3 linked regions of the Caenorhabditis elegans genome follow. The protein of the gene in region 3 interacts with the protein of the main gene of each other region in a pairwise test. Each region holds a gene or a part of one and is shown on either strand. Other genes may lie near its edges.

Region 1 (3,845 bases), on a different chromosome or scaffold from region 3:
TTTTACTTTTTCTCCTAGTTGATCCCGCATTTAAAATATTTTATGGTCTGACTGCAATACCGATTAGAAGCGGAGCCATCGTAAAACACAATAAATGTTCGGTCAAAAGAATTTGTATTTGCTCATACCGTACCTCTCAGACGTTTCATTTTTGTTCCTTAAATCATTCCTTGAGTTTTGTCCTTGAACTACGGTGAAGCTAACAAAACATAAAATCAGACTGATAAGAAGTGTCAAGTCACATAAAACGCAAAGCGTGCTTAAAAATAAATCGTAATCTTTAGTGTGCACATGACATTTTAATGTCATGTTTTGTATTCGGTCTTTTCAGAATTGCTTTAAAATTGCTAATAGCTTAGGCTTTTGGGAAATGTCAGAATTTTGAATGCTAAATCAAAAAATCAAAACAAAACGAAAAATCAAATCAAATCATGATTCGAATTTGGAACTTTGAAATTTCAAAGACTTCAAAGGAGAATAAACAGCTAGACAAAAAACTGAACTGAAAAAATCAATATATTTTTAATTTTTGAAGGATTTATTCGCTTAACAAAAGTCGCAAGAAGAAATTATTTTTTCTGAAATATTGTAAGTGAGAGAATGCTGTATGGAGCTTTGGATAAAGTTAAACTTGACGGTCCCACTATTGGCAAAACTATTTGAATTTTATGTTACACCGAATAAATTTGATGAAGTCTGAAAATTGCCGTGCTTATTTGTTTTACGCGTTTAGGAAAATTTTGTTATTTTTAAATTAAAAAATTAAAAACAAAAAGGGATAACAGTTCCAAATAGATTTTCCATGGTTTATGCTTTTTGTTAAATCTTTTTGCAAAATCTTTTTCAAATAAACTGTAAAGCATTTATTGTTAGTAGGATCATATGGGAAGGTTAACAGCTTAGTGCAAAAATTTTACAAAATTGCATCACATTTAATGATGTCCATGGTGTCCATGATGATGATGGCTTTCATAATGGCTTTCGTAGTGTCCTCCGTGATGTCCTCCATGGTGTCCTCCATGATGGTGGCTGTCATGGTGGTGATGGGTGTCCATATGTCCGTGGTGTCCTCCGTCAGTGTGGACATGAACAGTTGGTGGCATGTATCCTGGAGCTCCGTGGACTGGTGGTGGAGCATATCCTCCGTGTCCTCCGTATGGAGCGTTGTATCCTCCGTTTCCGTAGTACGACATTATTTCTAAAAATCAATAAGTTAGTAAAAAAGGATTGGTAAAATAATGTACATCAAGAAATAAGATAAAAAGAAGATTTTGAACAGTTTTGAAAAATAGGTTTATCCAAAAAAGGACCTATTTTTAGATGGAAAGCTGAAAAACTGATGGAGTATGGTCTTCGCGTTTGAGTATTTGAGCAATCTATTCAATGGAGGACACACGTCATAAGTGATAAAACGTTTAAATTATCATGCGCTGGTGGCATTTGGCCCTCCTCCATTTTTTGACGCTCGATAAGTTTATAAGAGGGTGTGATGATATTTTTGTTTGCCTTATTTGTTAGTCACCTTTCTTGTTCAAAACGACAAAGAAGCTCAAACAAACTAAAGGAGCGGAACGGGTGTTACTCATAGGCCAAATGGGAGAGAATGATCCAGAAGACCAGTTCCTCCCTCATGATGTTGAAGTATGATGAAAATGATCGTCACATTGGAAAGTTTTTTAAAACAATAATATTTTTTGTTTCATACATGTTATATCAAATGGGTTGAACATTTTGATAATAAAATAGTGATCAGATCAGATATCTTTTGAGATATTGTAAGACATGCGATGCGCATTCTACGAGCGAACCTTTGTTATTTTCCGATGTTTCCATTAATGTAATAGTCTGACGTTTTCATTTGACGTGTTCTTAAAATATCACTGAATTTCTCAAAATAAAATAAAATCACAACCTATGCGTGACACGTTGAATATTAGTAATTGCAGTAGAAAAAAAACAGAGTAAAACAGTCCTTGTCAACAATAAAACATTGAAATCAAGTTATATCTCAAGTATTTAGATCAATAAGTTTTTCAGATTTTTGGAACACTTGTGACACTCAATAAATTATCCATTGTACACGTATCCGTGGCTTTGTCATTTGCTTTTCACGTATATTCGTTGCGAGGGACTGTTTTTTGACCAAAAAGCAATATCAAAAGAGCATGATAGACTATTTGAGTCGTAATTCAACCCAATATGATCATTTTTATTTGTGTGTTTTCCGTAGACAATATAATTGACTTGTTTTCCTTAGTTACAGTTGTCAGGGTATTTATTTTGGGCTCAGTTACTTCTTTAAAACAATTATTTTTGATTGGAAATTAGTCTTTGTTCTAAAGGTAAACTGTTTGTCAATTAGTTCCTGTTAAATTCTAGTATGCATTTAATAATTCTTCAGTGCTTAATGTCAAATTGGCTGCACGGAAAGGTTAAGCGTTTCTTTCTTGATAGGTTGGGCAGATAACACATTGGAAACTGAACTTTACACTAGACAAATGTCAGTATCGAATAACTTTATTGGGTTTTGTGTTCACAAACAACTGAATGAAAAAAGAACTGAATCAATAATATATCTATTATGGAATGGGACCAAGTCTTTCTGAAAAGATTATCTATCTTCGTCACAGAAATTAAAATGAATAATTTTTTAAAAGAGTTATTTCATTTTTGTTGTAAAAACTCTTCCGAATGCATTATGTTCAACATAACTAATTGGTATATTCTGTAAAATTATTATATTTTTGTAATGAATGGACGAAGCATATGTGAACACTTATCCTTTCGGATAAGTTTCTTTCTTTTTTCTTTCTTCCTTTAATAACGGTAGGCAATAATAAAAGGATTTATTGATGTAAATAATAAAAATAAACAGAAAATATCAGTCGAAGCGCTTTAGAAGGAAATTATATCATATCTCTACATCAACATACATCCTACATCAAACATACATCTACTGAGTTCTCTTGGGTTTTTATATGGATTGGAATAATATGTAAATGAACACATAAGAGGTGATTAGCATCTAATATGTTAATCGGAATTAACAATACAGGAGAAAACTATTTGATATTATTGATATTTGATCATCGAAAGAGAGGTCTTTCGACACTCCCAAGAAAGTGAAGAAAGGAAAAGAGAAGAAAGAGCTAGACATAAAATTAGTGATAGTCTAACGAAAATTAAGATTTTGTTCCTTACTGATTGTGAACGAGAATATTTGGCCTGACAATCCAATTGAACTGCTGTTGACACCACTGCTCTAATATTTCTTTGTGTCACACTGTACTTCCGACAATGCGGATTGATTCTCTACATCAACATACATCCACATTGATTTTTTTGATTTTTTTGATTCTCCCCAGTTTTTGATTCGACAGCATATGACCAGGAGTGAATGACCAACAATATTTTCGAGCAAAGGGAAACTTCGCATTTGTCGAAATTGAGAATTAATGGAAAATGTCGGCTAATCGTTGTAACATTCGGCAACATATGATTTTTCGAACATCGAAAACTTCCATTTTTCATACTTCAAAATTTAACGCATCGTTCAACAGTTGCTATTAATGGCTAAAGATAGACGATTGGCTAAAATTAATATTTCCAGCAGATCAACGATTTATTTATTTTATTTGGTGTTACTTACCGTTTTCATTACTTCGGAAAATATATAGTTGAAATATAAGGGAACTGGGGACGAACAGAATTGGAAAATGATAGAATGATGTTTCAGGTTGATAATAATGTTCAAACCCATGTACCCAATGTGTTAATCATAGAATCCATTCAGAGTCAATACATTTGCAAAAAATTTCTTCAGAACATTTATCCTAGTCGAAGAA
Region 2 (5,098 bases), about 16 Mb from region 3:
AATTTAGAGTCGATAACTCCAGGAGGAGCATACCTGCACAAGAACCACACCGATGAGAGCCATACCCTGAGCCAGCCATTGATAATTGGAGAGCTTTTGGTTTAATATAATGACGGATAAAAGGGCGGTGGTCAATATGCGTAATTGGACAGTTACCTGAAAATTTAAAAAATACCACGTATGTAACTTTTTCGTGAATTTTCTCATGTAATCTAATTTCCAGGAATTTCAGAAAAAATAAAATCACTAAAATGTCCGGTTAATATGTCTTTTTAAATATCAACTTAGAATATAAACTTATAAGTGCTGAATCATTTTTGAGTTTTCGCGTAAGTCAACTAAGATTTTGGCATTTTGGCATAATTAGGATTAAAATTTTATTTTCTCGGTTTTGTTTGTATATCATAATTTGAATTATTATTTGTCACATTTTCGGACATTTTTCTACAAAGAAATTGGATCAATTTCAATGTTTCAGCGTTTTTCTTAGAGATTACCAAATTTTCTTTTCAAAAACATAATTTAAAAAAAAAGACAAACAGTGCCAAAATTAAATAAACTAATGAAAACTATGAAAACCCAATAAAAATTGCCAAGAAAAATTAAACATTTTGTAAAAATGCCAAAATTTAGGTGATTTGTATGAAGAATTCAAAAAAAAATCATACTAAATTTAAAAATTTCTAAAAAATTTTTTACAGTTTGAATTTGGTATATTGATCCCATATTTTCTTAATTTCATTTTGGGCAAAAATTACCGAATAAGTTGTCGCATCAATATTCGCGAGTGCAATGTAGTATAAATTGTTCTGAATAGCATATACCACTGCTGGAACCGACACTTTCAAGGTTTCCACTCGATTTTTCCAAATGTGTTCGTATAGCTTTTTGCCAGTTCTGTAAGTGTGTTGGAACATTACTTTTTTCCCCAGAATCTTACTTCTCAAAACTTTTTGTTTTAAATAAAACAATTATCAGGCAAAATAATAACTTCAAAACTTCCATCATAAAAACCGAAGTTGTCGGAAGGAAATGGCTCTGAATAGTGATTTTTTCTTGGCAATTGAAAATTAAGATCCTTACCGTATTAGCCATTTGTACAAAAAATGGCATGGCTGTGTGGTGTGCGGTAACTGCGATCATAGATAAAAGTTGAATTGAGCATAACCCTTGAATGATCTAAAATTAACTAATTTCCAAGCTATCATGAATTAAAAAATGAAATTTTAAAAAAATTGGCGTACCGAACTAGAACTCGATTTGACTTTCTTATCAATCTCTAGATCCAAAATTTGATGTTTCACATCACTCATTTTGCACTGAAAATTAAATTTTCAGAGAGTTACAAATACAGCAAATGTATTTAAAGAATAAGCAACAAATCGAATCAATAGGAAATATATTGGCTTTTCAGGATTCAAGATCGTGCGATAATAATATGTAGGCTGCGCCTGGTATCGCAGAAAAAATCAGATTTTCCTCTCAAAAGTCTAGTGAAATTTTCCTTTTTTTTATTTGTCGCTTCGTTTTTTGTTAGACATGTTTTTATCCGGTTTAACTCTAATTATTTAAAATTTCAAAATTTTTCTAAAAAAATCTTGAGTATAATACCTCAATTTTCCAAATTTTCAAAAATGTTCTTCAATTTTTTTCCTTTTTTTAATTTGAAGGAGGACTAACGGTTCTGACGATTTTGAGCGTATAGGCCCAAAATGTGCTCAAATGAACGAATTTTGTAATGAAACTTCTTAGAAATTTTTGAAGAATTTTTTAAGGCGGTTCAAAATTTCTAAAAAAATACACTGATTTTTCCAACAAAAAAAATCTCCAAAATTTCAATAACTTTTAATACATTTTTTTACATTTATATTCGGTCATTACTACTCATTTTTTTATTATAAAAACTCCAGATTTTCAAGATCCCGTCAAAAATTTTTTTAATCGGAAAAAAATTCGCATTTTTTGGTGTGATTTTTCAAACATCAAACAAGCCTGGCCTAGACTGAATTTTTAAAAAATGGGGAGATTTGTTCCTTGTCTTAAATTATTCATTCACATTATGTAAGCATTTTCGTAGTTTCGTCACTCTTGGCAACTTTTTCTATTGACGCTGATGTTGCTTCAAACCCCACCAGGCCTTGCTTTAGCAGTCTGCGTCTCCGATCATTGGTTTCCATTTTATATGTCTAGTATGTATTTAGTTTTCTGTCAACTGATATGTATTGGACTTTTTATTTAATTTTTTTTATTGATTACCATTATATATTTTTGTAGAAAATTTAAATTTCCCGCAAAAATATTTTGAATTTAATTTCTCCCAAAAATAGTTTTTTGAGAAAATTTTGATTTACCGCCAATTATTTTTTAACAAAAATTTGAATTTCCAGCTTAATTGTTTACTGAGGAATTTTGAATTTCCCGCCCATATTCTTTTTTAGAAATTTTGAATTTCCCGCCAAGTATTTTTCAAGAAAATTTGATTTTCCCGCCATATTTTTTTTGAGAAAATTTGATTTTCCCGCCAATATTTTTCTCAAAAAAAAATTGAACAAATCTTTAGCAATTCAGACGACAAAATGCCAGCAGCCCTTCTCATCTCAGGACCGTGTAAAATTTGTGATCTACCAGCTCACGGAAACCATTTCGGTGTGCTCAGTTGCCGAGCTTGCGCCGCATTTTTCAGAAGAGCTTCTCGAAGTCCTCGGTTTCAAGATAAAGCCTGTGAATATGGGGATTGCCGGATTTTTGATGCTGGAGCGTATGTGTTTGCTGGAAATTGAAAAAAAAAACTTCAAATTTTCTAGATATCGCTGTAAAATTTGCCGACTGAAAAAGTGCTACAAAGTCGGAATGGACGCAAGTAGTGGGTTAAAAAGAATTTTTAAAAAATTTTAATATCTAAATGTTCAGAATTTCAAAAGGACCGTGACCTTATTTCAAGCTCCAATGCATACCTTAAACGCACGAAAGTTTATGCTCCACAAAGTTTGGCAAACTTTCTCGGGCGGCCCGAATTCATAATAAGTTTCGAGCCCGAAAAGGCTTCTCCTTTCAAGACAGTGATAGATGTGACGGATTTGGTTCACAAAGCTGCAGAAATTTTCCAGGAGGTAAAGGTTATTTTTTGGCACAAGCCGACACTTCACGGGCCAATTGATGTTTTTTTCGCATCAAATTTTGCCGTCCTGTAATTTGTCGGTTGCTCGCTATTGTGCAATTTTAAGGACCTAGCCAACTCACCAATGCCCTACAAATACAGCAATAGCCTGGAAAAGCTCACATTGGAAATGGAAGACTTGCGGTTAAGAAGCTCAAATCATAAAGTAAAAATTGTGCGGAATATTGGGAAAGCTGAATCGCTTGTCTTTTTCGAGCAAATGTTCTTGGCGACCGCGAACTGGTACGCAAGACTTCCAGATTTTACAAGTCTGGATCTTCGTGTTAAGGTATGGTATTCGGTATTTAAATTTCGAGCCAACAAAGTCTGTAATTTTCCAGCTGGAAATACTAAAATCCACGTGGATGCTTTGGATTCGACTGAACAAGCTAGCTGAAACAGCACAAAATCAAAGAATTAAAGAAATGGGTGCAAACATTTTTATGTGCTCAGAAAACACTTGTCTGAATGTGCAGGATATCAATGTTGACTGGAGCTGGTGTACCAATTACGGTGCAGAGCAAATGCAAGCGTAAGTTTCAGGTTTTTTAAATTTTCTTAAGAGAAAATTTTACAGATTCCTAATGCCAAATATTGATAAGCATTGGAGACAGCCAGTGGAAGACCTCGTGAAGCTCAACCCAACAGATATGGAGCTCAACTTCATGCTCATTCAACTCTGCCTTAACGATGCTGGCAAGAAATTTCAAGGACGTGTCCTAGAGGCAACTGATAAGCTCTTGCAAATCAATGCAGATAATTTGCATAATTATTATACCAAAAAGTTGAACATGCCATCATACTCTGGACGATTGACAAAACTGATGAAAATCAACCAAATTGTCGAGGAAGATGTGAGGGAGAGAAAGGAAAAAGCGAAGATTGTCGAAGTTTTTGACCTGTTTTCAATTGTTTATTCGCATCCGGAAATGTTTGAGGGCACTTGATTAATAATTGACAATAAAATTTTTGTTAAACAACTTACTAATGAATGTATCCTTGATTTAAAAAAAATCGAATTTTGAATGAAAAATTAAATTTTTATTCAATCATCACTTTTAAAGGTGGAGTAGCGCCAGTGGGGGAAAGTGTTAAAAACTACTCCGATGGTGCCAAAGTGGCCGAATATCATAATAAAACCATTCAAAGATTTTTTTTTGAAAATTGTTTATTTGCTGTCAAAAAGTGACAATTACTCAGTCAAAAATTTTGGCAACTGGACAAAACTTTGACCGGAAATTATGAAAAATCTAAAATTTTTTCGAGTGTTTTATTATAATATTTGGTCATTTTGGATCATAATAAGTATATTTAGGCAAAATCACGACTGACGCTACTCCGCCTTTAAGATATCAAATTTTGTTATTTCTAGAACTGCTGTTTTCCATTGAGAAAACTAAAAAACTCTCACTGAACTTTGGAAGTTCGCTGCTATAATTTAGCATTTAAAATGTTTTTCTAACTTTTTCTTTCAAGTATTGTCAGGGATAAATTTAAAAAAAAACCACCCATGCGTTTTAAAATGACCAAAAAAAATTTTAAAACTTGCCCAACTTTTTTGAGATTTTTTGACTGAAAATTTTGAAAAACCTAACAGGTTTTGTGTTTTTATGGAATTTGTACTTATTGGACTATTATATAACGGCACTCTATTTTTATTTGTTGATCTTTTGATATTCCCTACACCCTAAAACCGCAGTCTATTTATTTTCCTTTCCTTCAACAGTCTGCGTCTCTCGGCACGTTTTATCGGTTCTACACTACCATTGATCATCGTTCTTTCACGTGTTTTATGTATAACTAAAAATGCCACCTGCCCTCTACCTTTCCGGGCCATGCGAGATCTGCGAGCAACCGGCTCACGGCAATCATTTCGGTGTGCTCAGTTGCCGAGCGTGTGCCGCATTTTTCCGAAGAGCCGCACTTCAAAATGCAAAATAT
Region 3 (5,924 bases):
AAATTTGGCAAAAAATAGTCGATTTCAAACGAAAATTTTGTAGAAAAATTTAAAAATTCCTTCATAAAAATGGTTGAAATTAGAATTTTCCTATTCAAAAATGTCTGAAATTTCCAATTACCAATGTAAAAACGTCTGAAATTTTAATTTTCTAATTGCAAAATGTCAGAAATTTCAGTTTTTCTATTGAACTTTTCATTTCCTATAACCCGAAACATCCAAAAAACAATAAATTCTGCCAAAAACCGCCAAATTTTCAGTTTTTTTGCCGGTTTTTTCTCCAAAAGTAGTCCCAAAACCCCATTTTCTCGAAAATTTTACATTTTTCTCAAATTTTCTATCAGAAAATTCAATTTTCCCGCCAAACCCCCCTACAAATCCCAATCTCCACACATCATTTACAAAAAAAAACGTGTAAAAAATGTGTGGGAGATCAAAAAATAAAAGATTTGGCGGGTTGGGGGATTAACCCTTCAATTTCCGTTTTTTCTAGTCAACTCGCGCGTGTTCATTTAATCCAAAAATCCACTACAACTTTGTGAATTTCGTTAGATTTTCGTTTATTTTTTTGTTGGTTCGAAATATTGATTTTGTCTCGTCATTTAGTCGTATAATTTTAGTACTCAAGTGTAGTTTGTAGTTTGTAGTGAAACTGCCCATGCTGTCCCATTTCGGTTTGATCTACCCCCCAGATCTACAAGAATTGCGGGAATTTAGACGCAGAGTTCTCAAATGATTTTCAAAAACTTGCAGAAATTTCAAATTTCCTATACAAAAATATCTGAAAAACTGATTTTCCTGTAGAAAAACGTCTGAAAAATCGATTTTTATATGTAAAAAATTTCTGAAATTTCGAATTTCCTATATAAAAATCTCTAAACATTTCACATTTCTTATGTAAAAATGTTTGAAAAAGTGATATTCCAGTAGAAAAATGGCAGAAATTTCAAATTTTCTATGTAAAAATGCATGAAATTTCAAACTGTTATGAAAAAATATCCTAAAAATATGATTTTCCAGTATAAAATGTCCTAAATTTCAAATTTTTTGTATAGAAATCTGAAATATTGAATTTCTCATGTGAAAATATCTGAAAAATTGATTTTCTAGCAGAAAATGCCGGAAATTTTGAATTTTTTAGTACAAAAACGTAAAAAATTTGAACTTCCTATATAAAAAATTCTTGAAGTTTCAGATTTCATGTTTAAAAATGTCTAGAAAATTGATTTTCCTGTAAAAAAAACGTTTGAACTTTCAAATTTTCTATGTAAAAATGTCTAAAATTTCCATTTATTCATTTAAAAGTGGCCGAAATCCTGAATTTCACAGTTCAAAATACCGGAAAAATACATTTTTCAGTCGAAACATGTCTCAAATTTTGAATTTTTTTATATAAAAAATTTCTGAAAAAAGTGATTTTCCAGTAGAAAAATGGCAGAAATTCTGAATTTCCTATGTAAAAATTCCTGAAATTTCGAATTTTCAGTGTAAAAATATTTGAAATTTTGAGTTTCCTGTAAAATAATGTCTCAAAATTTGATTTGTCTATATAAAAAATGCCGTAAATTTCCAATTTCCTATGTAAAAATATCTGAAAAGTTGATTTTTCCTATGTAAAATTGTCTGAAATTCATAGATTTTTTCTATAATTTTTTTTTGGAAAAAACAGTTCAAACTACATATTTAAACTTGAAAACATATCAAAAAATATTTACTTTGAACAATAGTTTTTTCCCGAAAATTCCATGTTTTTTTGCAATATTTGCATATTGTTTTCAAGTTTTCTGTAACTTCGAATGTTGTTTTTCTTTAAACTCCCCATTTTTTCCCAGCAATTTCTGCAAAATTTCCAATCTTTTGACCCCAAAAATCATCAAAACACAGACATTTTTTTTTGTTTACTTTCTCCTTTTCTCTCTCAAAACATAATGTTTTCCGCACTTTTGATGTCTGATTTCTCGATTTTCTGGTTTTTTTATTATAATGTTTTTCCTGAAACTTTATGTTTTGGTTCGCATAAAAATGCTATAAAATGGCGTGATTTTATAGTTTTCCAGAGTTTCCGAGTTTCGGAGCGATGCAGTATATTGTGCTGCTCAGCGTTCTGCTCATCGGAGCAAACGCTCAACTTTCAGCGACAAGAGGTAAGTTTTTCCAACCTAAAAGTGTACCTAAACCCCTTTCAGACCAAGAATGCAAAGAAAACGAGAGCTTCCAGACGTGTGGCACGGCTTGCGAGCCGACTTGCGGGCTTCCGACTCCGGTGAGCAGATTTTGTTGTCAAATTCCGGCTTACAACGTGGTTTTTGCAGACTTTTTGCACACTGCAATGCGTCATGGGATGTCAGTGTAACAGTGGATTCTTCCGCAGAACTTCGGATAATCGTTGTGTTGAGCAGAAGGACTGCAATGTTGCGGCGAATGAGACGATTCCAATTCCACCACCAGGTTAGAAGGGGACACAGACTAAAATTTGGGCCGGGCTACGCAGTCTCGGAATCTGAAATTTTGGGTCCGCTAGTACATCAGAGTTTCCAGACAAGGCCCAATCTCTAAGGCCGCACTGGCCCTACAGACAATGGCCCGGAGTTCGAAACGGGTATCTAGACCCAGAGCTTGGGGGTATCAGCCTCCTGACTTTGTGGGCGCCAAGCCCAGAGTTCAAGGGTCCCAGGCCCAGAGTTCGGGGGTACCTGCCCCAAATTTTGGGGATACCGAAAGACTAAATTTTGGGCCGGGCTGCACACGGAGTCCTGGAATCTGATGTTTTGGAGCGCGGGGTCCGCTTGAAAATCAGATCTTCCTGACAAGGCCCATTCTCTAAGGCATCTCAGGCCCTACAGACACTGGCCCGGAGTTCGAAACGGGTATCTAGACCCAGGTACCAGCCCCCAGAGTTCATGGATCTTAGGCCCAGAGTTCAGGGGTGCCAGGCCCAAAGTTCAGAGGTCCCCAGCCCAGAGTTCAGGGATACCAGCTCCACAGTTCAGGGTCCCCAGCCACAGAGTTCATGGGTTCCAGGCCCAGATTTCGTGGGTACCTGGCCCAGAGCTCGGGGACTGCCGGACCCAGAGTTAAAGAATACCAAGCCTTGAGCTCCACGGTAACAAGCCCAGAGCTCCACGGTACCGAGCCCAGATCGTGGGTACCAGTGCCAGACTTCAAGGGTAACAAGCCCAGAGTTAATGGGTCACAGGCCCAGAGTTCATGGGTACCAAGCTCAGAGCTTGGGGTACCGAGCCCAGATCGTGGGTACCAGCGCCAGACTTCAAGGGTGCCAAGCACAAACCTACCAGGCATCCTAAAGCCTCCAAACCAAGACCCCCGACCCCAAACCCCTCTAACCCCCCACCAATTTCCAGCCACCAACCTCACATGCCCAGTCAACGAGGTATCCAACGAGTGCCACAACCCATGCACCGAGAAGAAGTGCCCACAAAAGAATGCTCCACAGGTGAACTGCTTGATGGCCTGCCAAGTCGGATGCTCCTGCATGGACGGATTCGTCAGAAACAACCAAGGAGTGTGTGTCAAGGAGGCCGAGTGCCCAGCGATTGGTAAGTACTCTAAAAATTGGACGAAAAAATGCACCAGAATTGCGCCACCGCACTGCAACTTTCCAGGCTCTCAAACCTGCGGAACCAACGAGGAGCCCAACCAGTGTCACAACGCGTGCTTCGAGAAAAAGTGTCCGGTTAAGCCCCAGCCACTGGTAAACTGTATGGAGAAATGCGACATCGGATGTTCCTGCAAAAAGGGATTCCTCCGGAACCGCCAGGGACAGTGTGTGAACCCTACCGAGTGTCCGGCTACTGGTGGGTACCGTTTTAAAGGAAACTAGTTAGAGCCAGTGATTCTAGGCTCCACACTGACTTGCTCCAAGAATGAGGAGCCCAATGACTGTCACAATTCGTGCTCCGAGGCAAAATGTCCTGTCAATCCACAGCCATTTGTTAGGTGCATGATGAGGTGCGAAAAAGCATGCTCTTGCAAGAAGGGACTCGTTAGGAACCGGCAGGGACAGTGTGTGAAGCTTGCAGAGTGCCCACCGACTGGTTAGTAGGGCTGAAGCCTAGTTCTAGTGGCTTTAGGGGTCTCGAGTGAATTTTCGGGCAAAAAGTCATGTTAAATAGGCTTCTGGCAAAGTTTTGATGAAAATATCTAAGAAAATTGAGCTGAGCTCAGTTTTAGAGAGTTTTAGCAAGTTTGGTGTCTTGAAACGAATTTTTGCGGCATTTTTGACTCCGCTGTTGATTTTTAGAACAATTTTGCGATTATGAGCAGGTTTGCATCAAAATTGATGTAAATCTAGGCCTTTCAACAAAAGTTTTAGTTTTTGGACCAAAATTTCGGTGCAAAAAACGACTTGACCCCTTTTTTCGACAAATCCGGAGCAATTTTCCTATTTTGGGGCAGTTTTGAGCAGAATTTTTTGATTTTCCCCTACAAATGTGGTTTCCAGGCAAGACTGACACAAACCCATGTGCCTTGGTACTCTGCAAGCCCGGTCACCGATGCACCATGTCAACTGGCCAGGCAACTTGTGTGCCAGGTATCATTTTTTCTGTCCGCGGGCGCTGGTTTGGTGCGGTTCTTTGCTAAAATTCTGAGAATTTGGTGTCCTGAAATGGACTTGGATGGAATTTTGACAAATTTGTGGATTTTCGGAACGATTTTCACATTTTGGGACAGTTTTGGACCAATTTTATGGGGATATTGGCTTTTGACATACTTTTTGGCAGTTTTTTGACGAAAACGTTTTTTTGGCACACATTTTGGTTTAACGTGCGAGTTTCAACAAATCTGCCAACTTTCGGCACATTTTTGAATCAATTTTGAAGGTTTGGGGTTGTTTTTGACGCAAAAATCGGGATTTTAGCTTGTTTTCATGCCAAAATCATGATGCAACGACGTAATGACTTGACGCAATCCTGGTGCATACCCTGCGACTCAAAATATACGAATTTTCCGACTCTAACATATAAATTGTTTCCAGGCAGCACTGACGAGAACCCATGCAACTTGGTGGACTGCCGTACCGGTCACCAATGCTCCATGTCAACTGGCAAGCCGACTTGTGTACCAGGTATCGCTTTAGGATTTGGGGAAATCGGGAACTTTCTGTTGAATTCGGCTAGATTTTCAGTACTTTTATTCCTATCCTTGAGTTTTCTAACACCCAAAAAATTAAAGTGAGAACCGCGCCAGAGACCCCACCAACCGGGATCACGTGCGCCAACGTCAGATGCGGATTCAAGGGAGGTTGTGGAATGGTTGAGCCCGTCGGATGCGTGGGTTGCAAGCGTCAGCCACAGTGTTTGGAGGAGGACTGTGAGTTTTTAGGCAGAAAAAAATTCAGTTAAAATCGTCGAAATTTTCAGATTGCCGCGCCCAGAACTGTCCCTACAACGAGGAATGCGTTTTAGTCCAGGTCACGTGTATCCGGGCTCCATGGTAGGGCTTTAGTCCGGAATTTTTTTTTGTTGCAGAAAAAAAGTTTCAATTTCAGTAACCCAATCCCAACATGCCGTCCAAAGGACTTGAGACTCATCAAGCCTCTTATCCAGCCCCGTGAGCGCCGTCAGGCCGGGCCAAGCTGTATGACGGCCCGTTGTGGGACCCCGGCCGGGTGCGCTATGGTCAGGCCAAGTGGATGTATTGGTTCAACTGTGGAGAAGGGTTGTGAGCTCATGCCGATGTGTATTCATGTGAATGGTAGGTGACTGAGAGCCACGATATGTCGGGCGCTGCAACTTAACATGGTCCTGCGGACCTGCGATGTGTCGGCTGCTTTCTCTATCCTTGAAGCATCTGAATATAGATACCTTGGAAGTGTCCGACGCTAGAAAATCCGTAAAATTTCCAGCTTGCGCCTCCACGTCCTGCCTCGTCGGATCCCAATGTGTCCTCCACCAGGTTCAATG

The links. Proteins that work in one complex are often made in the same cells at the same time.
Region 1: the proteins of Y69H2.3 (region 3) and F53A9.6 interact in a two-hybrid assay, tested with the Caenorhabditis elegans proteins (one large-scale study listed by BioGRID).
Region 2: the proteins of Y69H2.3 (region 3) and nhr-184 interact in a two-hybrid assay, tested with the Caenorhabditis elegans proteins (one large-scale study listed by BioGRID).

The regions. Positions count from the first base shown.
Region 1 is NC_003284.9:8,712,612-8,716,456, forward strand, and holds F53A9.6 (Spore coat protein), read right to left. Parts: upstream 1,194-3,845; coding exon 933-1,193; downstream 1-932.
Region 2 is NC_003283.11:2,211,939-2,217,036, reverse strand, and holds nhr-184 (Nuclear Hormone Receptor family), read left to right. Parts: upstream 1-2,558; 5' UTR 2,559-2,576; coding exon 2,577-2,758; intron 2,759-2,804; coding exon 2,805-2,863; intron 2,864-2,910; coding exon 2,911-3,110; exon of another isoform or gene 3,111-3,224; coding exon 3,225-3,446; intron 3,447-3,498; coding exon 3,499-3,689; intron 3,690-3,734; coding exon 3,735-4,104; 3' UTR 4,105-4,166; downstream 4,167-5,098. Other genes in the region: nstp-8 (Nucleotide Sugar TransPorter family), read right to left, coding at 34-156, 759-897, 941-1,038, 1,084-1,179, 1,245-1,313; Nuclear hormone receptor family member nhr-133, read left to right, coding at 4,964-5,098.
Region 3 is NC_003283.11:18,660,250-18,666,173, reverse strand, and holds the start of Y69H2.3 (Follistatin-like domain-containing protein), read left to right. Parts: upstream 1-2,047; 5' UTR 2,048-2,077; coding exon 2,078-2,144; intron 2,145-2,186; coding exon 2,187-2,263; intron 2,264-2,312; coding exon 2,313-2,448; intron 2,449-3,362; coding exon 3,363-3,557; intron 3,558-3,623; coding exon 3,624-3,815; intron 3,816-3,860; coding exon 3,861-4,055; intron 4,056-4,462; coding exon 4,463-4,552; intron 4,553-4,996; coding exon 4,997-5,086; intron 5,087-5,193; coding exon of another isoform or gene 5,194-5,331; intron 5,332-5,381; coding exon of another isoform or gene 5,382-5,454; intron 5,455-5,509; coding exon of another isoform or gene 5,510-5,715; intron 5,716-5,866; coding exon of another isoform or gene 5,867-5,924.